Xenopus tropicalis: one gene and its partners. The protein of the gene in region 2 interacts with the protein of the main gene of each other region in a pairwise test. Links are inferred from orthologs where the notes say so. Each region holds a gene or a part of one and is shown on either strand. Other genes may lie near its edges. The genes, in order: slit1, hoxa1, ccn3, mgat5b, rgs17, chrd.1 and nell2.

Region 1 (3,901 bases), on a different chromosome or scaffold from region 2:
CATACCTTCTAAAGACAAATAAGCCACACATGGACACAACTAATAACATTTCATTCATGAAACACTATAACTTAACTGTTGCTTTGTAAATGGCACATTCTTTGGTTTCCTGTCAGATAGTTCCTGCTAAACCTGTTTATTCACATAAAGGGCCAGACTAGATTTGATTTGTAAATAATTGCCTTATGGGGGAAGACTGGAACTGAATTAAAAGATTTTTTTTCTCTCATTGAAGTCATTGTGGGCCAACGTTTTCCCCGGTACTGAAAACCATAGCAACCTACTGGCTGTAAAATTGTTTTGTGGGTTTAATGCAATGCAATGATATCCAGTATCATTGAGAGCCAGTTTGAGTTATTGGACTGGGGGAAAACTTTGGGTATACTACTATAACCCCTTAAATATACAAAGCAGCCACTTCATCATAGCAGCAGGGCTCGAACTAGTGTTAGGGAATAGAGGCAGCCGCCATGGAAAGTGTGTGGGGCTGTGGTCTGGGGTAGCAATTGAAAGGGGGGGTCTGTTATGGTGAGCAGGTATGGGGCAAAAGGTACTTGTTTTGGTGGATTCTGTGGAATCTGGCAAATACTAGAGGGGCTGCTGTAAGATGCCATAGACAGTCACTATTTATTGGGCCTGTGGGGGGTGGTTTGGGCCTCTGTGTACTTGAAATGCCAGGGCCTATTTGCACCCTAGTCCGGGCCTGGTCTTGGGCAACCGTACCTCTTTGCTCTGCATATGATTTTTCTGGTTTGCAAGGCCCCAAAGTCTGTGTGTGTTTGGTCGTAATGTCAGAGAAAAGTTGTTGTTTGGGGCATATTCCCATATAAGAATTTTTGTGTCTGAGCCCATGAATGTCCCCCAATAGATCCTTTCACTCCACTTGTTCCTTAAATCACATCTTTTATCAGTGTATTTTCACTTGTAGAATCGGAATGCCGAGGGGAGCCCGTGCGGGATTATTACCAAGTACAGCGAGGCTATGCCATTTGCCAAACCACACGCACCGTGTCCTGGGTGGAATGCCGTGGTTCCTGCCACAATCAGGGCTGCTGCACTGGATTACGCATGAAGCGCCGGAAGTACACTTTCGAGTGCAGCGACGGATCCTCCTTTGTGGAAGATGTAGAGAAACCCATTAAATGTGGGTGTGCTCAGTGTGTGTAAAACACGTTGAACTGGACTGTACAAGATCACACCAGACAAAAAGAAAATATCCAAGAATAAACCTGGACAATTACATTCTGTAAAACTGGACTTCTGCTCCCCTTTCAGATGCGTGAATATCTTGATGTCTGTGGCATTTAAAAAAAATATATGTATAAACAGCACCTATTGCATTAAGAGGCACACGCACATGCTGACTGGTTGTATAGTGTTGTAATCATTGGAGAAAAGGTATAGAGGAGGTATATATGTAGAGGGTAAAATGTGTAGATAGAGATTTTTTTAAAAAAACACACAAATGTATTTATACACAATGTGGATAGATTTACATGGAACAAGAAGGAAGGTCTGTATTTTATTTTTCCATTTTTTTAAGGTAGATCATTTTGTAACCATTGTGGCAGTATTACATCTGTTTTGTATAGCTCAGAGCGTTCGACAAGTATTCTTTTCTGATCTGTCATTTCTGCTGGGGAAAAAAAAACCCATTGTGACGAGGGGCACATCACTTTCATAAAGCACTTTCTGCTCAGTGAAAAGGGATTGACTAATGTGATTTTATATTTATAAGCCTTTTTTTTCTTCTACCCCTAAATATCATTATCAGCTAGGCTTCCCTATGAGCCAACACAGGAAAATCCGGCTGCAAGTTATAAATATTATATATAAAAATCGTACATACAATTCACTAACAGCAGCAAAGCAGTTTTAAGGGAGATGATAGTAGGGGCAATGTTTAGGGCCTTACAGATGTGGGGGCCCATACAGGTGTTGTGGGTAGGAAGAGAAAGACATGATTTGGGGAATGATAGAAAAGCAAGATGGAAACAACAGGGGTCATTTACTTTTCCCTGGGGCGCAAGTGGAGGGCAAATGCTAGAGTACTTGTTGGGGGGGCAAGTGCTAGAGCACTAAGGGGTGCCAAGACATGCCCTTAGAGTTGCCACCTGGTAGCTAACTGGCTGAGGGGGTAAATCACTAGCTAGGGCCAGCACTGGTAAATTTGTAATACCCTATAAATCCCATCCCTTTCCTCATCATTATCTCCGCTGCTGATCAGTCTTAATTATCACACCCGCCGCCCCCCCCACCCCTCACCCCCTCACCAATGCAGCACTGCTGAATGTAGTCGGCCATGTATTTGCTGGTGTAGCACCACTAATAACACTTGTGTTGCCACACTTGCAGACCTTTAGGCCCACATTACACAAGGCGTTTTTGATCCACTTCCTTCTGCCCCAACATCACTGTTCACTGCCAACCATGGAATCAATCACTTAGTGGACAGACAGTGTCATGGCCGTTGGTGCACATTAGTGTTGTGGTGGGAGAACGCTGATCGGAGTTTTATTCCGGGAGAGAAAACACCTATTGTGAGTTGGCCCTTAGTTTTCAGATGGTTCTGGCAATAGCTGAAGGCCCATCAGACAGACAATACTATTATATAAACAATATACAGTCTGTATTACCCCGGGGCCCCTCTTATACTAAGGGCAGCCCTGCTTAGGGTACTGGCACATGGGGAGATGTCACCTGTGGGCAACAAATCTCCTAAAAATACTTTCCCGTTTACTTACCTTCTTTTGCATTTTCCCGTGATTAGGCCTCATTGCTAAGGCAGCCCGTGGTAGCGCAGATTACTTTGGGTGACAGATCACTCAATGTGCCAGTACCCATAGCATTCCTCACTGTCACTCTATAGAGTAAAGCCTGCTTATATGGACTATTAAAGAAGACCGTAGGGCACTTTGCTAACATTACCTTTCTATTAGCTCCACAAATTCCATGAGAAACAGCATTAAGGAGAGACTAATGGGGCCCTAATGCTAAAGTACTGGTTGGTCTCACAAAATATATCTGACCTTGTTGTTCTATTCACAGGTTTCTATGTTGACAAAATTAAACAGCTTGTGTTCTTTTCAAACAAACTGGGGGGGTCCCTTTTGCAGGCCTCACTTTGTCTAGAGATCAAGGAGAACTGCCCCCCCAGCAAACCAGAATATTTTTTCATTGGTACCATTTAATAAAACTTTTTATATTATTTGTTAATGTTGCAACTTGCCCTTTCAAACAACAAATATTTTAGCATTATTGTCCCTTTAACATTATTAAAATGTAAATTTAATTCTGCTTTTGCTCAAGTGTATTATATATAGAGCTGGCTGGGATGTATTGTGTTTTTCCCTGGCAAAGGGAAACTGAAATACATATTGCTTTATACAAAAGAGCCACTAGTAACATTCATACAGGTGAGTAATGGTGACAGAGTGTATCCAAACTAAACAAAAAGGAAGTTATACTTTAGCGAGGGAATGGGACATGTAACAATGCGGCCACAATGTGCACCAATCACACAAGCGTCTGACATAGTTATAGCTTTCTGTACAATCCTGACCTATAACATTGTTCCATAAATATCATTAGGATTACCACCTGTCTGTTTCGACCTGGACAGTCTTGTTTTTGGGAGGGCTGTCTGGGTCAAAACTGCCTGCCCAATTTAGGAAATCCAGACAGGACTCTATTAGATTGATGCAGCATCGGCCAATTGCCGGTAGCAATATCATAACCCCGCCCCTAAAGACACCAGCCCCACCTATTACATCACTTGCTCCGCCCCATTCATCACCTGCCCCTGTTACGTCAATGTCCTGCCCCCCCGCCTGGCGTTACTAAAGCTTAAAGGTGGAAACTTTAGATATCAGTCAGTTCACTGCATTCTAGAAGATCTTAT
Region 2 (4,248 bases):
AATGTTAAAATTTCATGTACTTTGATGTTGTCCTGGTGATCTCGACTCCGCCGTGTTTCTTTAGATATTATTTGAGATAGCAGCGAGATCCTGCTGATATGCAGATTGCATTTAACACATAAAAGTACAGTATGCGGAGCCATCTGGTTGTGCCTTGCCTCTAACTCCAACAAACAAAAAAAAACAGCAGAAGTGGAAGAATGAAAGAAAGTTCTGCATTTACTTTGAAGTTTAGCTGCATCCACTTTAAATAGCGCCATTAGTATCAGCGTCATTCTGCCCGCAAATTCTGCAATTTACTAATTCGTTCCAGCGTCACATCGCAATGCACTAACAAGTACAGTAATAATTTAATAAGTACTTTACGACAGGGGATTAGATAGATTTCAGAATAATGTTCTTATTATTGAGGGGGTGGGATGAGAAACTGAAAATATATCCCTCGAGCCTCCCAAAGATGTGAAGCTTTGTGTTTATAGGGGAGGAGGTGAGGAAAGACTGGTTGAAGAAGCGTCTGGCATTTTTGTCAGGCACCAGTGTTTACACATGTCAGTAGTGAGTTTGGGGTGAAAAGTTCAGCTGAGCTTGACCCAAGGTGTTTCTACAGTTGTTAGACAGGAGATAGTGGAGAACCCATAAAAATGGCGCAAAACGAATAAAAACGAAACGTTGGCGCAAAGAGTTAAATTCGCTCTGCCGGGAGACGCAATTTTTGCGTTTGTTGTGATTATGAATTACAACTTTTTTGCCCTGGGACCCTCATCTACAAGACCTCCTGGTTTTGATGGAAATTCTTTAACCTTTTACATGCTGCCCAATAAAATGCACACTAGTTTAGTCAGAGGTAGCATACAAATGTTTTATTGACAAATTCCAACTGATAAAACTCAGTTTACATTCGGTGTCATGCAAGGGTTCGCGATGGAATCACAAATTATACACACATTTGGTCTTACAAGACATTCACTTAAAGGCGATTTAGAAGCGTTTCTCTTGGATCAGAGAACGAGTGGTTTTGTTTGGATAAATACCCTGGATACTGGACGATCTAGCACGATTTCCTGACAAACAAAACACACAATATTCACCTAAAATCATGACTGTAAACACCTAGTAAATGTGAGAGATTACTGAGGTATGCGGTCAGCAAACACTGCTGTCTTTTCCTGTGCTAGAAAACTTTGAGATTCTTCCAACCACTCCACCATCTGATAATTATTAGAATTTCTACAAAAACACTTGAAAGATAAATCTCTGGAACAATATATGTACACTCTTTTCACATACAGACACCATAGAACTTTAAATTAAATAGAAGTCTTTTAACTTGTGTAAACTTTTTCTCTATTAGTAGTGCATCAGTCCTTGAGGATCTGCAACCAGTGATTTCCCAGTAAAAAGTCCCAGCAGGAATGTCCCTCATATGGATTGTCCATAGCAGCTCATAGCAAGAGACAGTTAGTGTGACACATGCCAAAACAGGTTTTAGTTAACTTGGGTATTTTAGCTCAAAACGAAAATGACTTTTCAAACTTGTGCAAAAATATAATCTTAATGGTACCAGCTGAAATTCTGGCATAAACAATAGACAACTAAAATCACTGCTAAGGCTTTGGTTGATCAATCGAGCACAGGCAATGCCTTCAGCCTTCTAACCGGAAGTACTGAGATGATCTGAAGTAGAGGAGGCAGGAGATGGAGCACAGGGTGAAGAATTGGACTTTTCTGACAGCTCCTCTGACTTTTCATCGCTTCCTGTACTGGCTGATGGGGAGATGGGGAGAAGTCCTTCTTTTTCCCTTTTTTTCTGTTTCATCCTCCTGTTCTGGAACCAGATTTTTACTTGGGTCTCATTGAGCTGTAGAGCAGCAGCAATTTCTACCCTGCGGGCCCTGGTCAAGTACTTGTTGAAATGAAATTCTTTCTCTAGTTCTGTCAGCTGTTTGGTGGTGAAGTTGGTCCTGGCTGTGTTGGGCTGGCCGGCAAAGCCATATTCCCCAGCTTTACCTGAAATAAAAAAAGTCAGGGTTATAATCCATATGGAATGTGAGAAATGTAGCAGCCAACAACCCCAGTGTTATGGGGGTGCCTTTTCTACCGTTACTGACTGTATTATACAGTCACAAACTGTTACATTCCATTTGTACCCCCACCCACTAACTTATAGGGCAACATCAACATAAAGAATAATAGATCATGATCATGATGATAGATAGATAGATAGATAGATAGATAGATAGATAGATAGATAGATAGATGATAGATAAAGATTTACTTGATAAAACAAGGGCGCCTTAATAGAGTAAGTGGGTGTAGAAAGGGTAGACATTACCTGTTTTGGGTGGGTTTCTCTTTACTTTCATCCAGTCAAAGGTCTGTGCAGGGCCCGGGGATGTTTCGCTGGAAGGAGACCGGCAAACTTCTCTCTGGCTGATATGTAGGCTGGATACATTGTTATTGTAATTGGCCACAGAAATGTTCTGGTCAGGTCCGTAGGAATGGTGGATATAGTGAGCGGATCCTTCGATGTAAGACTGGTGTTGGTGATGCTGGACCACAGACGAAGCGATGTTGCCGGAGTAGACAGATTGGGGGAACCCTGCGCTCACATCTGCCTCTTGATTGATGGGGAAATGAGAGTAGCCGGGGCTGAAGTTCTGCATGCCATAGTTGGAGCCACAGCTGGTATGAGTATAAGACATCCCCAGGTTGTTGTGGTGCTGAAAGGCACCGGCTTGGTGGTGGTGGTGATGGGGGTGAGAACTTATCTGCACCCCTCGTCCGACCACAAAACGATCATCGCTGTTGCAGTTATTAGCACTGACTGCGCACGACTGGAAAGTTGTAATTCCATGGTCGGGGTGGAAGGATCTGGAGGAGCAGGTCCCGAGGTCGCCGCTCATTAAGCCCGGGTACTCTAGGAAGGAGCTCATCCTCGCATAGTCCATCTATCACTAGGTGACTGTGACACAGAGCCTGGCGTGGCCGTGCCAACTTTCTCACTTCCTCCATAGGTCCAGCACAAAATCATATGAATGTACAGTGAGGGCAGGTCACGTGGAGAGGCCAGCCAATGGCAGCAGCGACAGATAAAGTTTGCCTACACTAACTGGTGATGGATCGGCCCTACACTTGCATTTAAATTCCAGGCGCTGCTCTATCCAGGTGACGCACACGGCTGGGAGTACAGTGCACTGAGAGAGCAGCGGCCAAGTCGCACAGTCCTCTCTACCCGGGAACCGCCACAGTGCAGATGTCAGAGCCGGGGGCACCCGAAGAACCCCCTAACCCGGTAAGGAGCAAATAGTGATTGGTCAGGGGGATTTGGGGATACAACTGTGTGTCAGTGGGTGTCTAAAAATACACAGGTATGGGTATTAGTGAGAGACACTGTAGTGTGTAGTGGGTGTGAGTCTAAGCATTTCTGTTTTAGATAGATGATAGATGATAGATAGATAGATAGATAGATAGATAGATAGATGATATATAGATAGATAGATAGATAGATAGATAGATAGATAGATAGATAGATAGATAGATGATAGATAGATAGATATAGATAGATAGATAGATAGATAGATAGATAGATAGATAGATAGACAGTGTATGTAAGACAATATAGGACAATTGCAGTGTACACGGAATAGGAACAAATATGCAGATACCTGTAGTTCAGCTTTGTGTGTGTCCATGCATTCCTGTTTTGGATAAGTGTATCTTGTAGATAGAGAGGCAGACAGGCAGACACTAGATAGAGATAGATAATTACAGATAGGTAGATAGATGATGATAGATAGATAGATAGTACACAATATCGGACAATTGCACTGTACACAAAAATGAACAAACATGCACATAGGTAGGGTTCAGCTTTGTGTGTGTCTATGCATAAGTGTAGTTCTACATTTATTGCTGGTCTTTGAAGACTGATTGATCCTCTCATTGATTTGCTCTACACTTGTCCGACTGATCACACCGTGCATTTTTACACTATATCTGGGAATCTTCCTTAACCCATTCAATGCCAGAGCAAAGCATAGGCAGGCTCTATATGTACAGCTGGTCACTAGCAGCCACGCCTCACTTCTTTAGTACAGAGGATAGAACAGTCAATATTACCATGGTAATAACGAGTTTGTCATGGAAAGCTCTGGCTTCTTCTCCTTTGGTTGTACAATAATCCCTTGGGCACTACAGCAAAATCATCTGGACAAAGATTATTGTATGTGCATAGTCCTGTCAAAAATG
Region 3 (4,420 bases), about 96 Mb from region 2:
AGTGAAGGTATTCTGGCCCTGACGTATACAAACATGGAGTTAAAACATTTAGCCAGGACTAGGACAAGGAATTTCATAGAACTGGGACCAGGCTTCATCAGATTTTTGGTCTTTTACCCACTGTCTACATTTATAATGTCTCACCCACAATAAGCCTGGTGCTACAAAATGCACCCCCCCCCCATGGAGTGACCATTTGATTGGCTGGTTTGAAGGTCCTAGGACTTTGCATAATGAACAAATGTTTTTTTTACATTTCAAAACAGCCCAGCATTAGGGCTCATTTACAACAGCTGCACCAAACACAATTTATATCTAATTCACCAATATGGTGCAAAACCTGGTGCAGGTTAGGTGAATTATTAGTTGCAGGGGTGCCAAGGTGGGTGTCCTTAAGTTTGCTGTATAAATTAGAGAGGTTCTGTGAGACCCACTTGGCGCCTATAGGTGCAATATACAAAGGGAACCCCGAGTTACTGCCCATTCAGGTGTAAATGAAAGGGCTCCCTTGTGCCAGGCTGCACTGTGCCTTGATCCCCAACATTGTCTTTAGCCGCCCCCTAACACCATTCCTTCAGTATAAGGGCAACAAAGGGCAATGGTGCCTAAACCCCTTGGGATGGGGCAGACCCATATTTTTTGGGAAATAGTGACACCACTTTGTGTTACAAATAAGAAAAGATGCGAGACTCACCGGCCATGGCAAAGCCACCGATCGCCATCTCCTCTTTGGAATCACAAACCCACTTCTCGCAGCATTCGCCGGGCACCTTCACCCTCCTTGGGAAAGGGCAGTCGGGGCCAGGGAGCATCAAGTCGAGGTTACAGCGGGGCACGCAGCCAATGTGGCCGTTCAGGCAAGTACAATGGTATTTACAGCTGGGCTGGAAGGTCGCTCTGTTGCGATACACCACCCCATCAAAGATGCAGTTGTTGCCTTCCAGAGCTGATTTATAAGCAGAGAAACAAGCGCTTACTGAGAGGATAAACAGGGACAGACAGTGCATTCAGTTTCCCCCATGCCTGGGGTATAGTTTGATCCCAATATATACACTGTCTGTGCACCCTGTACCTCTCATGTGTATACATGGAAATATACAGAGAAGGCTTATTCTGTGCACATAGGCCCTGATATTCTATAGTTTAGCTAAGGGGAAATCCATTAGTGCTAACCCTATTCCAGGTATATATTCTCTTTATTAACCTGGCCACATGTTATAACATGGTATGACACGTTCCCACACCTTGTGTCTCAACCCTTTCTCCTTGTAGATTGTAAGCTCTTTTGGGCAGGGCTCTCTTCACCTCTTGTATCGGTTATTGATTGCTTTATATGTTACTCTGTATGTCCAATGTATGAAACCCACTTATTGTACAGCGCTGCAGGATATGTTGGTGCTTTACTTGTAGATTGTAAGCTCTTTTGGTCAGGGCCCTCTTCACCTCTTGTATCGGTTATCGATTGATTTATATGTTACTCTGTATGTCCAATGTATGAAACCCACTTATTGTACAGCGCTGCGGCATATGTTGGTGCTTTATAAATAAATGTTAATAATAAAAATAATAATATTAAAGTAGCAGAGTTTTCCCAGGCTTGTTGCCCATTGTGCCCAGCTTACCCATGCAGATGCCAGCCTCTGTCCTCGGGTCTGCATTGAATTCACAGTAAAGCCCTTTGTCCTCTTGGCAGGGGTGCATCTCAGAGCAGCTCTCTCCCTCCTGCCGGGCACACACTGGGCAGCAGGCACAACCATCTAGTACGAGTGGCACGGAGGGGGCGCAGCTGGGTGGTTCCTCAGGACACTGGTCACACTGGGACGGGCATCTCTGTGACGCCACCTGTACAATTCCATGAAACACAAATAAATAATATGCATAACAGCTGACCTGTAACGCTCAAGCTCTAATAGGATAAACTGTCATTGGGTACCAGAATCCCAGGGAGCAAATCAGCCTTGGCTTTGTGTTCTTTAAAGGGGAAATTCACCTAAATAACTTATTTGGGTCTTACAGGAGTAGGAAGTTATAAGGAGTTATATTTAAAAGCTGCTTCCCCTTGCCTTGCCCTTTGATGGGGGCCTGCAAACTGGTTGTTCATAAAAATGCCCCTGGCACAAGGGCAATCTGGTACCCCCCCGACACAATATTGGCACGGTTGGGTGATCTACAGGCTTCAGGGCAGTGTGTGCTCACTGTAAGCTCTTGAGTTGGAGGCAGTGCTAATATAGAGGTGCTGCCCATCAGAGCTGGCAGTGCCCCACAACAACAGCTGCCAACATAGAGAGACTACTCCTCTGCCAGGTCCAACAGGCTTGCAGTACTCAATGAAACAGTAAGTGGCTATGGTCAGGGGAGAGACATTATATGTTATAGGGTGGTGCCTCTCCTTCCACTTTAATTTTGAGTTGAGAGAACAGGTTTAGTTCCCCTTCAAACCCAGGTAGCAGTTTCAGGCTGAGAGACATATTACAAATATAAATCATTAAAAAATACAAAGAACCAAAGTACTAATTAACCAAGAGCAAAACAACTGTCTGTGCCTTCCTGCACTCCTGGTTCTGACTCTTGAAGTTATGATGCAGAAGTCAGTTCTCCTCCAGGTCTGCTACATTGTTTCAGCAGTCAGAACCAGCAATGCAGCGACTACAAACTGCCAGGCAGATACTGTGCAATTACATTGGCATAAAAATGCAAAACCACTGAAAATATTTCATTAACTTCAGAAAGTTGCTTAGAATTCCATGTTCTTAATGCAAAGATCCCCATTAAAAGGAACATGCAAGCTCATATAGAGAAAAGCAATAAAATGGCACTTACTTGTTGTAGGAGGAGGATGAAGCAGAGAGCCAGGCAGGGAGTCATGATTGCCAGAGCAGTGGTACAAGCAGGGAACTTCCACTCACTGTCAGTTTGTGTGAATGACACTCAGTGGCTCTGCCTGCCCATATATAGACTGGCTGCTAATCCTGCAGAAACCCTATTGGCTGAGGCTCCGGAACTGGGCGGTACCAAGTACATTTCTGCGGAGCTCATGGACCCAGCGTTTCCATTTGAGAGGTAATTGCGCTCAGTGGCCGCTAGATGGCGACATAACCCTCACCTGCTGAATGGTATTTGCGCTGCATTCATGGAAAGCGATTGCAGCCAAATAGCAGAGGAATTCTGTCTGTGATCATGAAAGCATTTTGTGTCAGAGGAACCAATTAGTCATGTACGTATGAGGAATGCAGCCCCAGACGTCTAGCAAAGTCTGAAGGGGATACACAGCCACAATGTGTACTGATGTCAGCTCTGCGGCCAGCTCTTACTGTAACCTTTATTCCTAAGCAAATGGACTGGCCAGGCTGCCCAACAAACCCTAGGGTGATATCTGCCTCGGCATGGTTTTCCCTGTATTAACCCTTTAGATTGTAAGCTCTTGTTAGTAGGGCCCTCTAGTCCTATTCTTAAGGTCCCCATACACGGGCCGATAGTAGCTGCTGATATGGGTCCCTTAGACAGAATCGGCAGCTTATCGGCCTGTGTAGGGGCAGGAACGAGGGGCATGCCCGACCAATATCTGCCTGAAATTGGCCAGATATCGATTGGCCAGGTTAAAAGATTTAGTCGGATCGGGGACCGTATCGGTTCATTGATGCGGTCCCGAACCAAGTGTGCCCATTGCTCCCTTTATAATTCAATTGTTTCGCCTACATTTTCCCAATATTGCCCACCCGTAGGTGGGGATATCGGGAGAAGATCCGGCGATCTTAACAAGAGATGTAGCGAACCATTCGCCGGCGAACTAATTGGCACGAACATCGGGTGTTCGCAAGTTTGGAAGTTCGCAAACTTTTCGCGATGTTCGCAATTTGGGTTCGCCTTAGGCGTTTTTCCGCTGCGTTAAAAAGCCTGACAAACAAATGCACCTCCTTGGCCTCCTGATCCCTTACTCACTGCAGATGATAAAACAATGCCAATTGCCCCATATTGTACAAATGAATAAACTTCCTATTCACAGCAAAGCCCAAGTCTGATTATTGCCCAAAAACATTCACAGGTTCTGGCAACTCATGTCATGGTGATCTAAACACCTAGCCCTGGATTTGTGGGAAGGCCACCAAGTAGTGTTGCCATCTTTTGTCAATGTTCTTACCAGTCAGGGTGGGGGCTGGGTCCATAATGGGGCGGTTCCTTGATGTCAGGGCAGGATTGTGATCTAATTGGGGGGCAGGGCATGATGGTGGACCACATTTAAGGGGATATAGGGAGCAAGGAAGGCTAGAAAATAAGCTTGTCGAAGGGATAGGAAGGGTGGAAGACAAGTTATTACAAATTTACCAGCAACTACAACTACTACTGGCCCCAGCCCTGGCTGCTATTTTATTGGTTAGGCTGGTGAAATACTGGCCAGGTGGCAACCCTACTACCAAGGCCT
Region 4 (3,901 bases), on a different chromosome or scaffold from region 2:
GCAGCCAATCAGAGTGAGCCTTCTTTGCACCTGAGCTATATCATACTAACTTAATCAAAGCACCCCGGCCTACTCAGCAGCCAAAGAGCAGTGTTCCCATAATACATTTCAGCTGGCTTTTTCCTAGAGGCACAGATAGGATCACACTATGTGACTTGGATATTGCACTATGATATGGGATCTATATTCCCTGGACTGGGATTTTAAATAGGCCCTGGCATTCCCAGTACCCAGAGGCCCAAACAGCCCCCCAGCCCAATAAATAGTGAGTGTCTATGGCACCTTACAGCAGCCCCTCTGGCATTTGCCTGAACCCACAGATTGCCAGTCTGGGCCTGGGTCCTGGCATTCCAAGTACCCAGAGGCCCAAACAGCCCCCCAGCCCAATAAATAGTGGACTATGGCACCTTACAGCAGCCCCCTCTGGCATTTGCCTGAACCCACAGATTGCCAGTCTGGGCCTGGGTCCTGGCATTCCCAGTACCCAGAGGCACAAACAGCCCCCCCAGCCCAATAAATAGTGACTGACTATGGCACCTTACAGCAGCCCCTCTGGCATTTGCCTGAACCCACAGATTGCCAGTCTGGGCCTGGGTCCTGGCATTCCCAGTACCCAGAGGCCCAAACAGCACCCCCAGCCCAATAAATAGTGACTATGGCACCTTACAGCAGCCCCTCTGGCATTTGCCTGAACCCACAGATTGCCAGTCTGGGCCTGGGTCCTGGCATTCCAAGTACCCAGAGGCCCAAACAGCCCCCCAGCCCAATAAATAGTGACTGTCTATGGCACCTTACAGCAGCCCCTCTGGCATTTGCCTGAACCCACAGATTGCCAGTCTGGGCCTGGGTCCTGGCATTCCAAGTACCCAGAGGCCCAAACAGCCCCCCCAGCCCAATAAATAGTGACTATGGCACCTTACAGCAGCCCCTCTGGCATTTGCCTGAACCCACAGATTGCCAGTCTGGGCCTGGGTCCTGGCATTCCCAGTACCCAGAGGCACAAACAGCCCCCCCAGCCCAATAAATAGTGAGTGTCTATGGCACCTTACAGCAGCCCCTCTGGCATTTGCCTGAACCCACAGATTGCCAGTCCGGGCCAGCTCTATAACACACCTAACTCACCATTTCCCATAGGTGGAGCCCTACTTACCGTACGAATACACTAGCGAGGGAATGCTGCAGAGACTCCATGCTTACATTCAGCATCAGGTAAGTGTCTTCTACATTTGATATAGCAGTGAAAGCTGAGAAGAGGGGTTCAGAAATTAAGATGGACCAATGTTTGGATACTGGGGAAGGGTCCCTAGCTCATCAGAGGTTAAAGGCATTTATTTTTAGTTGGGGTCTACAAATAAATGGATTGAAGTTATCCTATCATCTATCTATCTATCTATCATCATCTATCTATCTATCTATCTGTCTCTGCTTGTCGTGATTAGGACATCAGTTTAGTCACATGGCAAGAATCTTATATGCAATTGGCTGCATCAGTTAAGCTGAAGAACTGCTTCCTCTGTGGTGGAGGATGCGCCTTTTGCTAAACCCATTGAGGGCCCCGTGATTTTGTGGTTCTAGCGGCTGTCGTGCCAGCTCTTGGCTTCCCTTAGTGTCAGGCATCTAACACTTCTACAGGGTAATATAATAAATGGCACAGTTTGCCCAGGTGTATTCACCCATAGCAACCAAACATCTGACCTGTAAATGCTACCTGCATATTTGTTGCTATTGGTTACAAGACTAGTAGCAAACTATGCACCTTTTGTTAAATCTCCCCCAGAGTATCTTGCATTTTTCCTTATTTTCCTTTCCACTGCTTTACTGTCCCCTTCTTTTCTCTCTTTCTCCCACATTTCTCCTATTTTTTTCTATTCTGTACATTCCTCCTCAGGAGTTTTGCTCACCCTCTATGTCCTCCCCCTATTCCATAAATGGGTCCCAAGGCCTTCACACCCCTCCCTTGCTCCTCGTTAATCACACACACCTGGTGTGGCCCCCGAACGTACCCCTTCCCCATATCTGGCCCCCAGTCACTTCCATGCAGGTTTGGCTGTCGGAAGAAGGGGAATCCTGCACCAATGCATGCTGGGAGCGCAATCTAGTCTGTGAGCCGAGTTTCTTCATCTTCATCAACCAGCAACGCTTACTAGAGCAGTGAGTATACAATGGCGCTGCCAGGCTGGGTGCCCAGTCTGCGGTCGGCTTGGCTTCTGTAAATTCAATATATCAGGGTTCCCACCTACATATTATGGCAGGCAGGGATAGACGGACATTCTGTTCCCTGTACGTTCCTTTACACCAGCTGTTCTGTGTAGCCAAGACTCAGTTACACAATGATCCAATAAATAATTGATTCAATTGCTCGGATGCCTGAGTATCAAATCTGGATCTTGCTCTGAACACGTACTGCCAGTTTCGAGGCACCATGTAAATTTAATTGGTTTTCCATAAAACAGACAATACGAGTGTAGCTTATTCAGTGCATAGCACTTTCCTTCTCTGTATATTTGTATTTATACATATGGGTAGGAGGTGCCATAGTGTTTCCCTTAGACAGTACAGTATGGGGGTACAGCTTATTGTGTGCCCAGAACATTCCTTCTCTGTATATTTGTATTTATACATATGGGTAGGGGGTGCCATAGTGTTTCCCTTAGACAGTACAGTATAGGGGTACAGCTTATTCAGTGCATAGCACTTTCCTTCTCTGTATATTTGTATTTATACATATGGGTAGGAGGTGCCATAGTGTTTCCCTTAGACAGTACAGTATGGGGGTACAGCTTATTGTGTGCCCAGAACATTCCTTCTCTGTATATTTGTATTTATACATATGGGTAGGGGGTGCCATAGTGTTTCCCTTAGACAGTACAGTATGGGGTACAGCTTATTGTGTGCCCAGAACATTCCTTCTCTGTATATTTGTATTTATACATATGGGTAGGGGGTGCCATAGTGTTTCCCTTAGACAGTACAGTATGGGGGTACAGCTTATTGTGTGCCCAGAACATTCCTTCTCTGTATATTTGTATTTATACATATGGGTAGGAGGTGCCATAGTGTTTCCCTTAGACAGTACAGTATGGGGGTACAGCTTATTGTGTGCCCAGAACATTCCTTCTCTGTATATTTGTATTTATACATATGGGTAGGGGGTGCCATAGTGTTTCCCTTAGACAGTACAGTATGGGGGTACAGCTTATTGTGTGCCCAGAACATTCCTTCTCTGTATATTTGTATTTATACATATGGGTAGGAGGTGCCATAGTGTTTCCCTTAGACAGTACAGTATGGGGGTACAGCTTATTGTGTGCCCAGAACATTCCTTCTCTGTATATTTGTATTTATACATATGGGTAGGGGGTGCCATAGTGTTTCCCTTAGACAGTACAGTATAGGGGTACAGCTTATTGTGTGCCCAGAACATTCCTTCTCTGTATATTTGTATTTATACATATGGGTAGGAGGTGCCATATTGTTACCCTGAAGATGGTGCCAGTAGGACATGATGGTGGCAGCAGCAGCTCTCTTTCCCAGTTGTTGTTAAAATCCAACTCCCAGAGACAACTTTTCTGTTTCCCGTAGGTTGGGTGCTCTGTGTGACAGCACCGAGTCCGTGATGAGCCACCTCTACCCAGCGGTGTCCCTGGCGGTCCGTGAATGTTACCTGCAGAGGGAGCCACTGCTGTTCAGCTGTTCCGGGCATAGTAACAAATTTCGACGACTGTGCCCCTGCAGAGACTATCAGCCTGGACAAGTAGCCTTGTGTCGGGATTGCTCTTGAGCCAAGCACTATGTGCCACTGTCGTACTGCCGACGGCCATCGGAGTGAGCACAGCATGGAAACATTCTGCACCCTTAATAGTTTTCTACTCAATCCCATTAGCTGCTGTGTCCCAGCCCT
Region 5 (3,909 bases), on a different chromosome or scaffold from region 2:
AGAATTTTAAAAGAAAATTGTAACCGTGAGGCTGGATTTGCCGCTCCGAAAATCATGCAGTTTAAGCTTTAATAAGCATTTTTACTGTCACTGTGATGTTAGATCTGGCAAGATGTGATCATTTTTTAACAAATTTTGCTTTTTTTATAGAGATAATGGAGATATACGTTGTGTATGTGTGTGTGTGCATGTATATATATATATACAGGTATAGGATCCCTTATCTGGAAACCTGTTACCCTGAACGTTTCAAAATACGGAAAGGCCATCTCCCATAGACTCCATTGTAAGCAAATAATTATTTTCTCTTTAATAATAAAACAGTACCTTGTACTTGATCCCAACTAAGATATAATTCATCTTTAGAGGCAAAACAAGCCTTTTGGGTTTATTCAATACTTAAGTTATGGAGATCCAAATTACGGAGAGATCCCTTATCTGGAAAACCTCAGGTCCCGAGCATTCTGGATAACAGATTCCACACCTGTATATATTTTATATATACACTCAAAGCAATTTAAAAACCATAAAAAAATCTACCGTAAAGCAATACGAAGAATAACGTTTGGTTGTAATGCTGGTTTCTACAGATCCTTGTTACTAAGAATGTTTAGAAATGTGTAGAAGGATTGATATTTTACAACATTTTCAAAGTAGCTATTTTTAAAGTTAAAGTTTCTTTGTCAAAAAAAAAGTAGTTCTCATTCAGTCATAATAAAAGACATCTGTGTCATCAAAAGGTTTTCAAATGCTACATATAGGTAAACATCTTCATTTCTATTTTTCTTGAAATATTAAAGTATAAATATTTTTATTTTATTTTTTTTGCTGAAATACATAATGCTAGACAACAATGTTAAAACCGGTCGCCCAGTTTTACTTACATTTACAATGTACATAAATATGTTTTTTTTTTTTTGCTAGAACAATAAACAATATCAGCTGAAATATTTGGTCATCCATACAAGGTATCCTTTAGATTGCTTGTGCTTATTTGACATTGCAAACTCATTAATAAAAATATAAGAGAGCCACAGTTTGGCAGTGAACATCCGTGGAAATTCCACTTTAATTTCCTCCACACAAGGATAATTAGCTTTGCTTGTTTGTGTATTGGCTTGTTAGTATCCACTCTTTATACCACTGTAAAACACCATCTAATTGAAAATTGGATTATCCTAAAATGCCCATCTGAAGGAATACAAATCAAGCCAAAGTTTCATTTCAATATTTGAACATAATACTGTATTGCACATAAAATGTCAGTAACTACGTCGTTAATGCAATTGGCTATATATTGCAACAATGAATTGGTGTGTTGAGGACAGCTATTACCCTTGCACATGCAACATGAAATAAAACAAGGAGTCTGTTCATAGTCCACCCAATATATCATTGTAATGATATACTCAAGTAAATAGCATAGAAAACAAATGTGGCAATTCCAGTGTTGCTGTTTTTCAAACTCAAAGATGAAGAGCTTGTAAAAATGGAGACGGAGACCAAACAATTTTTAAAGTTATTCTTCACAGTAGCCTGAGTAGTGCACAAGTGGAGTTCTCCAGGAACTCAGTGTCTGATGGTAATAAACTACATATGTGTTCTGTTAAGAAAACAAGATATGTTATCCAGAGGTTTTAGCTAAGATTCAGTGATTGAGCCTTCTGTACTTTCAAGAAGAGACTTATAGACTTGTGAGTTCAAAAACCTTGGAAAAGAGTCTCTGTGCATCAATGTATAGATCTGAAGCTGGGCATCTTCGTACATATGGGGGGTAGGATCCAGCAAATTCCGGTTGATCACTTCACGCACTCTAGAGTCGAGGCTGACCTGTAGGCATGAAAATGAGCAAGTTATTGATTGCTAGTGTACAGTTTCACTGGGCATGTATAGTATTTTGTTTTCCTTTTCCGTGTTTTCATGGCAATATCAGTACATGGGAAGGCCAACTGTTCACAAATCAAATTTTTGAGTTTTTTTTCCTAATTCAGGAAAACTCAAAAAGCTTGAATGTGTGCTAATATATTAAAAAATGGAATTTCAAAAACTTGATATAAAACCATGAAAAAATGCTAAATCCCATAATACCTTTTAATGTGCCACATTTTAAATGAATCTCAAAAACTCAAATAAGTTTGCTCCAACTCCCATTGACGTCTACATGAACTCACAAGCTTCTTTTTCTGTTTGTGTTTTTGAGCATCAAGTTTTGGAAACCCAAATTTGAATTTATGTTTTTGTTGCAAAAATCTTAAATTGCAATAAAAACTTGAATTTGAATGTTTATAAAGCTTCCCCTTAGTTTAATGTCTGTAACAATATTGGCTTAAAGACGTCTATCCAATAAAACACCCTGTGTGTCATAAGACTAAATAAAAATGATTTCCAAGATTTCTCACATAGCATAAAGTCATCATTTACAAATGGAAACCTGTTCTTATGCCTTTTCCCTAAAGACAGTGTAAAAACTGAATTATGGATAGAATACTTTTGGTGCAAGAATGTAGCCATTTATTTGTGTTTGCAGGCACATTTGCAAATATTCTGTTTGCCTTTATTACAAAAGAGTCTAAGGAGCACCTGAATTTGACTTTTTACTGCAATCCTATTTTTTGGGGCAAAAATCACAAATTCGAGGTCCTGAAGCGTGAATTTTCGAAATTTATTATGCACAAAAACTCAAAAATAAAAGTCATTAGGAATTGTATTAGCAAGCTATTTTTCAATTAAAGTTTTCAAGACTAATTCAGAATTTAGTAGAATGTGATTTTACCACGTTCCAGTTTTTTTTTTTTCACAATTTCCACATTTTTTAAGATTCAAGTGTTTTACTAAAGGAGCACAGACTTGAGATTTTACATTTTTACGAATTGGAAAAAAAACCTTAGAAAAAGTCGAACTTAACATTTTTGATAAACCTGACAATCTTATGCAAAATAAACTCATGTTTTCTGACTTTCCCAACTGGATCATTTTATTTTAGCAAGGCTTGCTATAACCAACAGGTTTGATTCCAATGTCTTTGATTCCAATTGTTCATGCTGGTTATTCTAATAATCATTGGTAGGAAAACACTTTTGTAATGACAATCCCTTCTTGATTAACACTAAATTCAGCCAAATGTTCAATTTTTTTTGCTTAGGACATTGCTTTCCACCTTCCCAGCATAACACCATAGTTACTCTTCCATTTCCTAAACATATAGCAGATAGGCTTTGTATCAAAGTTTTTCGATTACTACTTGTTTTTTTATTACTCTATAAAAGTATTTTGATATGCTTGGGGATATTTTAGTTTAGTGAAAAGATAAGAGAACTTTAAAAGAAATGTGTAAGTCAGCTTCATGGCATATTGACACACTGCCAAGAGCATAAAAGATATATATACATGGGCTGGCTTTTGGCCATGCTATAAAATGTACTGCTTTTTTAAATAAAACAAAATCATATTTATCACTTATGAAGTCATAATATTCCATGCCGTCTACATTTCCCTTAACCCAGATCAAACGGAAATTTCTCCTTAATCTCTGCATTTTCTGGGTCCCTGGTGAGGTAATAAAGTCTTTCTCTACCTCTGCTATACACCCTTGTGTATCTCACGGTGCTGTGTTGCTTACTCACAGTTATAAAAGACAAGGTGATTGGACAGTGTCTGATCATCTATTGTTTTAATTTCTCTGGTGCTTATTATTTTCTCTTATAAGAAAACATAGAGAGGAAAAGGAACATGTCCAAGTATAGATATAATGACCTCTAACTGAGATCCTTAAAAAGCAAATGTGACTAATGTGGTCCTGGTTCAAAGTCAAACATTTTAGGCTGGTTTCAAAGGAAACCTCAGCCTACACATGATATTCATAGTGCTTCTCAGAGAACTTTTCAATTATAAATGCAGATGTTTCCAAAA
Region 6 (4,587 bases), on a different chromosome or scaffold from region 2:
TCTAACTTTTTCAGTGCAGAAGGCAGATTACACCTCCCCACCTCCAGTTAAACAGCCATGCCTTCCATTATCAAATGCAGCAACAATGTTGCAAAGAAGAAAACATATAATAACAATATGAATAATAATAATCCTTAGATCCATCTAAGTAACACAACTAACATTTATTTCCTCAGAGAACTACATAAATTGTAACCAAAACGAAACGAAAAAGATTAGATCCCTCAAAACCCAGCAAATGGTGAAAGGATTCCACTGAAGAGCATATAGACTGGATCCAATGAGAATAGTGTCTACATGCCAAAGAAGGCCCCATACAACAACCCCAAAATGCAGAGCATTAAGCTAAGTCCTCTCCCTTCTGGAAGATATTAAAGTGAGGTTGGTGCAGCTGTTGGCCGCTCTGTATTTTGCTGATTTCTGGCAGAAGTTCTGGGAGTGTGAAGAGACTATACCCGAGCCAGACGCTGCCTCTGAGGTACCGTAACCAGACAAAAAAACAAAATGTTGCTCCAACCGAATCACACAAACAGTTCCCACTAACCCCTACAACACCATGCACAGCAAAACAAACATAGCATGCACATGCCACAGCCTGCAGAAAAACATGCAACACTTATGTCAGCAACAGGCAATAGTTTGGAAAGAAACAAACAAGCAAATTCATCAGCCCCCTGAGAACATCTGCTTGAGCATGTGGGAGAAACTAGGAGATGTGTGACAGCACGCAAAGCAACCTGCACATCACACGTTGCTCAATGCATGCAATTTGTAGGTAGAACACACAGGAATGTTAACATCAACACATGCTGACTGAAAAAACATGAGTAAAATAAATCAGTAACATGTAAATTACTAAGAACATACCAGGGAAAAAGAGTCTGTAAACAAATGGGTATGCCCTGTGACATGCAGGGAAAGGCTAATTGACATCTATGTTTTCTAAGTTAAGCATTTAATCTTCCATGTAGGTTGGCCACCATACCACAACTTGTGGAGCACCTTAAAAATATGCATGGGGGAGCATGGAAAGGTGTAGAAGTGTCCTGTATTTAATGTAAAATTGTCTTTTGAATTTGCCCTTACAAATGTTTTCAGGAGCTGCTGGGAATTGTAGTACAACAAATGGAAGGCCTCAGACTGACAGAAAACATGAATGATGGCAAAAGTGTACATGAACAAGATGGAGAATCAGTGCATGCTATGCAGAAAGCATGAGGAAGAATATATAGTCACAGTATGACTAACAAGAAAGCCATTGCCTTGCTGCTTTTATAAAATTGACTATCCTTTCTGTATAACAGAAGGGAATGATAAGGGCAGTGGTGCAGACAAGGGCAGTTTGGTGGGGTTACACTGAGTGTACAATTGATGGGGGGGGGGATATACACTGTGAGGTTTCATGTCCAGAACCCCAAATATCCATCTGGGACATGACTGAGCAGAACTCTGGCAGCTGAAGAGCTCTGTGTAATGGGCTGAGTTACATAAACATTCCCTCATAGCAACTAATAAGCAAATCTCTTCCTATGGGAGCGATTAGTGTGACAGCACATTCCCTAAGTCTGCTCTAAGCTCTGCTTCGCTCCAATAACAGCTCTGCTTCTTCTCCTCACAAAACTTCAGCGGGAAACTGCCTGACCCCCAAGGTCACTGACACTTACTGAACCTCCCGTTCGTGTTGGGAGGAATCCAACCTCTTGTTGTAACTCTTTATGGCAGGCATGTCCAACCTGCGACCCTTCTGCTGCTGTTTAACTACAAATCTCTGCATCACCGTGTGATAAAGATAGGCTGCTGCTGGGTGCCGCTATACAACCGCAGCTGATGGGCAGGTTGTGCGAATGGATATGTCTGGGCACTACTAATGTGGCATCCTAAGGATTTAGGCATACTACTGATCACTGCCCTGGGCACTACTAATGTGGCATCCTAAGGATTTAGGGTTACTACTGATCACTGCCCTGGGCACTACTAATGTGGCATCCTAAGGATTTAGGGTTACTACTGATCACTGCCCTGGGCACTACTAATGTGGCATCCTAAGGATTTAGGGTTACTACTGATCACTGCCCTGGGCACTACTAATGTGGCATCCTAAGGATTTAGGGTTACTACTGATCACTGCCCTGGGCACTACTAATGTGGCATCCTAAGAAATTAGGGTTACTACTGATGACTGCCCTAGCTGCTACAACTGAGGTTTAAGAACCCCAATTAATACAATGTACTCCCTGCAGTAGAACTGCAGCCCCCCAATAACTACCGTCACCCAATTGTCACTCACCTGCTGGTGTCTTAGATTGGAGGGGCTCCTGTTCAGGCTGAATGGGCAGGAAAACCTTTGGGCGAGAGCAATCCACAGCCATAATCCACAGGGTCCACAGAAGTAAGATGGGGGAACAAAGCATTTTTGTGGTAGCCCCGAGCAAGCTCAGTGAGTCCAAAGAGTTGAGGATTGTATAGTGACCGTTTAGTGTATATGCCCTGCACTATACCCAGCAAACTGTTACTTGTCTCTGGCTCTCTGGGTCACATCCCCGGTACATGTGCTATGTACCCTTCCCTTGTGCCAACAGGCAACACTGCGCCACACACACTCCAGTAGTGAATAGAGCGCTCTCTGCTATCCGGACCAGTCACTTCTGCACAGCAGGTACCAATGTCCGGAGGGGACAGTTCTGTCCAGTGTCCGATGAGTCTTCTGATGGCTCAGTGGGACTAGCGCAGGATTTATAGGCGGGGGCACAGCGAGCAAACAAAGCCCCCCACCCGGCCCCCTTTCCAATTTTGCCGAAGTATATTGCACTCACTCTGGGAGTTGATGAGTCGCTCAGCGGGGTCTCTGCCCAAGGAAAGTGTCTCTTAACAGCATTGAATAGCCCAGCGGGGAGCAGCGGGAGCTCTCGACTACCCCCTAACCCGACACACTCAGACACAGCATCCTGACTCAGCCTGGACCCACCCAGGAGAGAGGGAAGAGGATGAGCACAAATGGAGAGAAAGAGGGATACAGAGAGAGAGACAGAAGTGGGGGACATGCAGATAATTGCATGTGGGAAAGCTACATAGAATTTGACAAGATTTGGGGAATAATCAGTATGGCATGGAAATAAAATGGGGGGATAGAAGTATTAGGGGAGGCATATTAATATAGAGAGGGAGATATCAGGCAGAATATGCAAAGAGGGAGAAGTGGATCAGGGGTGATATTGAAAGTCAGAATTGAAGTAGAGAGTGTGATTCAGAAAAAGGGATGTTGCCCAGGGAGATAGTTGCAAGAAAGTGAAGAGTGGAGAAGAGAGAGTATGTTATGTAATGGGAAAAGAGAAGCAGAGGGAGAGAGTTATAAAATTACAGAAAATGAGAAGAGGAGCAGAGAAAGTAATACAGAAAAGCATATGTGAAGCAGACTGAGAGAGTAGTACAAAAAAAGGAGAAATAGAGCAGAATGACTGACAAGTAGGAGAAGTAAAGCAGACAGTGTTACTGAAAGGGACAAGAGGGGCAGAAGTGGGTGTGATACAGATAACAAAAAGTTGGATGAAGAGTGTGATACATACATTTAGATTTAGTGCACAAGATGAGCACATAGAGAAATTCTGGATAAGAGGAAAACTGAGCAAATGGAGAATCAGAAATAAAGCAATATGGGTTAAGGGGCAGAGCAACAGCTCTACAGAACATTCTGTAAAGATTCCAGAAAGATGAGGGAATTTACTGTAAAGGACAGAAGCATGGGGAAGGAAAACCAGGAGAGGGAGATGTAAGATAAAGATCATATGAAATAGAAAATGCTCTGGCAATAAAAAATAAGTAATAAAAAGGACTAAAAGAACAGTTATAGGGAAGACTCTTATGTGCTTATGGATATTATACTGTATGTGTGAGGGCTTCAACTTAAAAATAAGGGAGGTGAAAAAAACAGGCTAGTGTAGCACACACATATTGTTGCTGTACCAGGCCTGAGCAGCCCCTCTAAACTATACATTAAAGTTCTTTCTGGTTGTTACTGTAAAAAATGCCTTTTTCTCTTTTTAAACCAATAAACCTTACTGAATAGTATATATTATTAAATACGTGTTGCCAAATACAAGGAAATATGGAGCAAAATAACCAATTCCATTACATAATCTGTCCAGTTCAGAGATTTCATTCAACATTTGCTAATTCATGTTAGTTTTATTCACATTAAAGCATTCATAATTAATTGTAGCTTGAGAAGTTAGTAGGAATTGAAGAGTAGGTGGCCATTAGGGTACTGAAGCAAAGTCAGTCTGCGAGCTACTGAGTCAAAATTCAGGGTATCTTTAAATGTACTTATATGGCAGTTTGTGTTTGGTCAAATTCTTATTTCTATATGATTATTATCATATAGCAAAGTGATCATCTTGATTCTGTAATGAAGCTACTTAATATTGGTGCTAGTGCCATGATAGAGAATCATGGAATAACTCCAATAAGAAGGCACAAGTTGTCCTTATGTGCAGGAAAACACTGTAACTTATATGCCATTTACCAGATGTCAACTTCCTTAAAGATTAAAGATGGTTGGACACACCCTAGAAAGATAAGTGATGACAATGA
Region 7 (4,495 bases), on a different chromosome or scaffold from region 2:
AGATGATTAGGTAACACCTGTCAATAAGGGAAGAGTAGACTGGTGGCCTATTAAGCCTCCACAATAATACGATCCACCACAACAGCCATGTCAACCAACATACATTGTGCAGGGACACATATTGGGAGTTTTTGTCTGTACAAAGAAATGTTGAAAAGAACAAATGCTAATGTGGGGCTGCAGAGGAAGATATTTTAGCCCATACTGAGGGAATGCAATACAATCCTAAATCTACACCGTTAATGTTTGTCCAGGGTACCTACAGCACACAGGGATGTAACATACGCTCACCTTGCATAAAAATGTTTCTGGGCCTGTTGTATTCATTGTTATAGTTTTTTCAGTTTAGACAAAATCCGGGATGCAAAGTTAAGGTTCACCTTAAGTCTTAATATGCTATACAGGAACCTAATCTAAAGAATTATTCAGTTGGTCTTATTTTTTTTATTGTATGTTTCTAATCTGCTTCCTTCTAGCATGCAACTATAACTGTTATAAATCTTGTAGGGTCACTGACCCCAGAATGCAAAAACAGATTGATCTTGAGTCTTCAGCTTTAATATAATTAGGGTAATATGGCCCTGGCAACAAGAAAGCAATCTTAATGGTAAGCACGAAAGCTGCAAAACAAAAGAAAAACGCAAAAAACGGACTAATTGCACATCATGTTAGAACAGTATTGTCTACACTATATTACAATTAATTTTAAGGCTAACTACCCTTTTAGGACTGTAATAGCGCTTTTATTTCAGAATTATTTTCAGATTTTCCCTTTCTGTGCACACAGGATGAAACTTTCGGTAACCCATCTTTTTTTTTTTTTCCATAAGTCACAGGTTCCCAGCAGCATTAATCTCTCTGGCTGATCAGGGTAGCGTGTGTTATTATTCATTGCATCCCCAGACTCAAATCAACCATCTGCCAGCCTTAGTCCTGGTGTACATTAATTACGGGGCCATCAATCAGTGGGAAAGCAAACCTCTAGCAAAAGAACACTGACACTAAGTGGAGAAAGCTCAAATCTAAGGAGGATCATCTGCTCAGCAGCTCAGCTGCAAGTCACCAATCCCCTAATTGTAAAGTTAGAAATAATTGTGATCACAAACACTTCATTTGCTCAAATGTTCCTCTTGCACACAGGAGTATGATAAAGCCTGACCACTACCCCCACTGCACAGCCCTGAACAATACTAATCGGTACCACAAGGACCACTGCACATCTGTCCACTGGTTGCCATACTTCAGAAGGATGTGCTAGATCTATTATTTTTAGATCTGGACCATTGCCCCAAACAATGAAAACATAAATCTGTGTCACCTACAGATTATGTGAGCAAACTTGAAGTCTTGCTTTGGCCAGAGCAATAAAGTCCCTTAATGACTTTCATTTTTGGTTTTGCTGAATCTTGCAAAAAAAAATGCTGGGATTCTGCCAAACTGTAAAAGGAATTCTAGTTCATGCAAACCCCCTCTCCACTGTGTCACAATAATTTCTGTTGTAAACATACCCTTATGCACTTTACACAATCTGACCATCACATTATTTCATTTTAAACTGGTCCTCATTAAAAAAAGATCCAATTTTCACAAATTATGAAAGAGGGAGATGAAGCAAACAGGCAGAGAGAACAAAGATGCTCAGTAATGAGTTATCAGTGTATATATATATATATATATATATATATAGCCAGACAAAGGCCAACCAAAGCAGGCATGTCCAGCTGTTTGAGGCCCTCCAGCTGTTGTTGAACAATTAAAATCCCTGCACCCTCAGAAAGACATATATTGCAGATGGATGGGATGCTAGGAGGTTAGTAACAGACAGAGGATTTAGTGTTCCCTAAGGAATACCTTGAAAAAGGAAGGCTTTGCTCCGGTTATGGAATCCTTGAACCTGCTGCACTCCAGGGGTGGCCTCTCCCAGTTGGAAGTCCTCGAAGATGTCTATCTGCAGGGAGGGGTCCACACCAAAGCCTGCACCTGGCCAAGAAAGATAGCACCACCATTTACTGGGAGTGAGATTGGATTCTATCTATCTATCTATCTATCTATCTATCTATCTATCTAATCTTTCAACGGTTTAGGTACCTAATATAACTGCAGTTACCTGAATCCACTTCAGGGTACTGATATGACCTACTTTATCAATCAATACCCAAGAAACTTACATGTTCAACTTCAAATTCCAATCTCATCCCCTTTCCTATCAGTTTCATCCCTAATGTAAGCTCAGCAAAGAAAGCTGATGGCTTTAACTTTCTAAGGAAAGAAGGAGAGCTCTTACCTGCTCTGAGACAGAAAATAACGCAGAATATGCCCAATATAAACTCCATTCTGGCACCGATGCACTTAGTCCATAATCTCCGTGCCTGCTGCTAGTGTAGCGCTGCTGTGAGTGCCGGGCTCCCTCCTAGAACAGCACAGGCAGCCAGCGGATGAGCCAGCAACTTGGAATCCCCAGCGCTAGCATCATTAGCTCCAGCAGCACCCAGCTAGGCAGGGCTGCCCAATAAGTGCCCGGCGGCAGCCTCGGTCCGACCCCTACCCACCCCACAGCAGGGACTCGGGGACTCGGGAACGATCTGCCTGCAAAGGGGAATCTGGGGAACAGGGAAATCCTCGCTCCGAACCTGTTAGAGACAATGGATATTCCTCTCCGCCGGAGCTGCTCGGAGAGCCACACTAATTGCTACTCCAGGGATTCAGGAGGGAGGGGGAGGCACAGGCTCCACTGTCCCTTTTCTCTGAGGGAGTGAACAAGCGCCCCTTCCAGCAGCTGATCTGAGCGTTTTTGCAGGCAGAATCCGACTGCTCAGCGGCACAGGTTGTGTCCTCTAGTGATTGGCATGGGGGTGGGTGAATGACTGGGCTTATTGGTACAAATGGGCATCCCTTCACATTACTAGGTGTGCCAGGCGCCGCGTTGCCCTGTTCTTTTTAAGCTCGTTTAGGAAAGAGCTGAATGCGCAGTACTGACTGGGGCTGGAGACGGGAACATTAAGATTAGTGGAGCACTATCAATATGATTTAGCTTTGTGCTTCAGTTCTCTTCCCAGTCCCACATACCATGTGTTTCCAGATCATCCTAATGGAGAAGTATTTTAGCCTCATGAAATATACAGGTATATCCTCCTTAGCAAGGCTGACATCATTGCTCTCAGTTCTACTGTTTAACTACAGGGCTTCCCCACTAAACATGTAATCCACTGTATTTAGGCTTATCTGCAGTGATGACTGAATAAGTATATGTTTTAATCCACATTTCTACTGTTAATTCTCCCCGCACATTTCATTTTTCTGCAATAAACTCATACTTTCCCAACTGATTTACACTAATTTGCTTTTATAATGAATACAATTTTGTTTTAGGAAAATAATAAAGGTTTGGGGGGATGAGGTTAGAAAATTATATAGATCAGTACATTAGTAAAAGCTTCTGGAAAATCAGCATATTATTAACTTAAACGAAAAAAAAAAACTCCCTGCCTTATTGTTTTAACTTTTGGGCTACAAAAATGGGCAGTCTAAAGGTGACCATATATGCTCCGATATTATTGTACGGAAAAAAATTGTACGATAATCGGTACATTGGTAGCCAGGGGCCTCCCATAAAACACTGGTAGCCAGGGTCCCCCTAAAACATTGCTGGTCCTCCTCCAGTGTCCTCATGTTATGGCCCACTCCCTGCTGCCTCCTGCTCCCCCACTGCTTCCTCCCGCTCCCCCCTAGCATCCTCAGCTCCCCTCCCCAGCATCCTCCACCTCCCCTCCAGCATTCTTGAGCTCCCCCCAGCATCCTCCCCAACATCCTCCAGCTCGTCCCAGCATCCTCCAGCTCGTCCCCAGCATCATCCAGCTCCCCTCCAGCATCCTCTCCAACATCCTCCAGCTACCCACAACATCCTCCAGCTCACCTAAGCATCCTCCCCAACATCCTCCAGCTCCCCCCAGCATCCTCCAGCTCCCCCCTCAGCATCCCACCCAGCATCCTCCAGCTCCCCCCAGTGTCCTTCCCAGCATCTTCCCCAACATCCTCCAGCTCCCCCCCAGTGTCCTCCCACTGGAAGATACCATTGCAGCACAGAGGCAGGTACATATCTGAATCTTGGCACAGGCAGGAAGAAACCATTGCAGCACAGAGCCAGGTACATATCTCAACCTGGGTACAGGCTGGAAGAAACCATTGCAGCACAGAGCCAGGTACATATCTCAACATCTGCACAGGCTGGAAGAAACCATTGCAGCACAGAGCCAGGTACATATCTCAACCTGGGCACAGGCCATAAAATACCATTGCACAGAGCCAGGTGCATATCTCATCCTGGGCACAGGCCATAAGATACCATTGCAGCACAGAGCCAGGTACATATCTCAATCTCTGCACAGGCTGGAAGAAACCATTGCAGCACAGAGCCAGGTACATATCTCAACCTGGGCACAGGCTGGAAGATTCCATTGAGCAGAGCCAGGTACATATCTCAGCCTGGGAACATGCT

What was found.
Region 1: the proteins of hoxa1 (region 2) and slit1 interact in binary tests that used the Homo sapiens proteins (3 or more experiments, as listed by UniProt). The link is inferred for Xenopus tropicalis from reciprocal best matches to the Homo sapiens genes HOXA1 and SLIT1.
Region 3: the proteins of hoxa1 (region 2) and ccn3 interact in binary tests that used the Homo sapiens proteins (3 or more experiments, as listed by UniProt). The link is inferred for Xenopus tropicalis from reciprocal best matches to the Homo sapiens genes HOXA1 and CCN3.
Region 4: the proteins of hoxa1 (region 2) and mgat5b interact in a two-hybrid assay, tested with the Homo sapiens proteins (2 studies listed by BioGRID). The two-hybrid records come from large-scale screens. The link is inferred for Xenopus tropicalis from reciprocal best matches to the Homo sapiens genes HOXA1 and MGAT5B.
Region 5: the proteins of hoxa1 (region 2) and rgs17 interact in binary tests that used the Homo sapiens proteins (3 or more experiments, as listed by UniProt). The two-hybrid records come from large-scale screens. The link is inferred for Xenopus tropicalis from reciprocal best matches to the Homo sapiens genes HOXA1 and RGS17.
Region 6: the proteins of hoxa1 (region 2) and chrd.1 interact in binary tests that used the Homo sapiens proteins (3 or more experiments, as listed by UniProt). The link is inferred for Xenopus tropicalis from reciprocal best matches to the Homo sapiens genes HOXA1 and CHRD.
Region 7: the proteins of hoxa1 (region 2) and nell2 interact in binary tests that used the Homo sapiens proteins (3 or more experiments, as listed by UniProt). The link is inferred for Xenopus tropicalis from reciprocal best matches to the Homo sapiens genes HOXA1 and NELL2.

Annotation. Positions count from the first base shown.
Region 1 is NC_030683.2:32,333,411-32,337,311, reverse strand, and holds the end of slit1 (slit homolog 1 protein precursor), read left to right. Parts: intron 1-928; coding exon 929-1,167; 3' UTR 1,168-3,297; downstream 3,298-3,901. UniProt on the Homo sapiens protein: Thought to act as molecular guidance cue in cellular migration, and function appears to be mediated by interaction with roundabout homolog receptors.
Region 2 is NC_030682.2:42,135,050-42,139,297, forward strand, and holds hoxa1 (homeobox protein Hox-A1), read right to left. Parts: upstream 2,991-4,248; 5' UTR 2,949-2,990; coding exon 2,333-2,948; intron 2,008-2,332; coding exon 1,652-2,007; 3' UTR 846-1,651; downstream 1-845. UniProt on the Homo sapiens protein: Sequence-specific transcription factor. Regulates multiple developmental processes including brainstem, inner and outer ear, abducens nerve and cardiovascular development and morphogenesis as well as cognition and behavior.
Region 3 is NC_030682.2:138,162,796-138,167,215, reverse strand, and holds the start of ccn3 (CCN family member 3), read right to left. Parts: upstream 2,907-4,420; 5' UTR 2,866-2,906; coding exon 2,821-2,865; intron 1,843-2,820; coding exon 1,623-1,842; intron 947-1,622; coding exon 695-946; intron 1-694. UniProt on the Homo sapiens protein: Immediate-early protein playing a role in various cellular processes including proliferation, adhesion, migration, differentiation and survival. Acts by binding to integrins or membrane receptors such as NOTCH1.
Region 4 is NC_030686.2:45,623,098-45,626,998, forward strand, and holds part of mgat5b (alpha-1,6-mannosylglycoprotein 6-beta-N-acetylglucosaminyltransferase B), read left to right. Parts: intron 1-1,134; coding exon 1,135-1,209; intron 1,210-1,888; coding exon 1,889-2,151; intron 2,152-3,582; coding exon 3,583-3,781; 3' UTR 3,782-3,901. UniProt on the Homo sapiens protein: Glycosyltransferase that acts on alpha-linked mannose of N-glycans and O-mannosyl glycans.
Region 5 is NC_030681.2:42,988,599-42,992,507, forward strand, and holds the end of rgs17 (regulator of G-protein signaling 17), read right to left. Parts: intron 1,831-3,909; coding exon 1,642-1,830; 3' UTR 775-1,641; downstream 1-774. UniProt on the Homo sapiens protein: Regulates G protein-coupled receptor signaling cascades, including signaling via muscarinic acetylcholine receptor CHRM2 and dopamine receptor DRD2.
Region 6 is NC_030681.2:99,615,905-99,620,491, reverse strand, and holds the start of chrd.1 (chordin), read right to left. Parts: upstream 2,879-4,587; 5' UTR 2,412-2,878; coding exon 2,288-2,411; intron 1-2,287. UniProt on the Homo sapiens protein: Dorsalizing factor. Key developmental protein that dorsalizes early vertebrate embryonic tissues by binding to ventralizing TGF-beta family bone morphogenetic proteins (BMPs) and sequestering them in latent complexes.
Region 7 is NC_030679.2:64,114,759-64,119,253, reverse strand, and holds the start of nell2 (protein kinase C-binding protein NELL2 precursor), read right to left. Parts: upstream 2,957-4,495; 5' UTR 2,334-2,956; coding exon 2,285-2,333; intron 1,981-2,284; coding exon 1,852-1,980; intron 1-1,851. UniProt on the Homo sapiens protein: Plays multiple roles in neural tissues, regulates neuronal proliferation, survival, differentiation, polarization, as well as axon guidance and synaptic functions.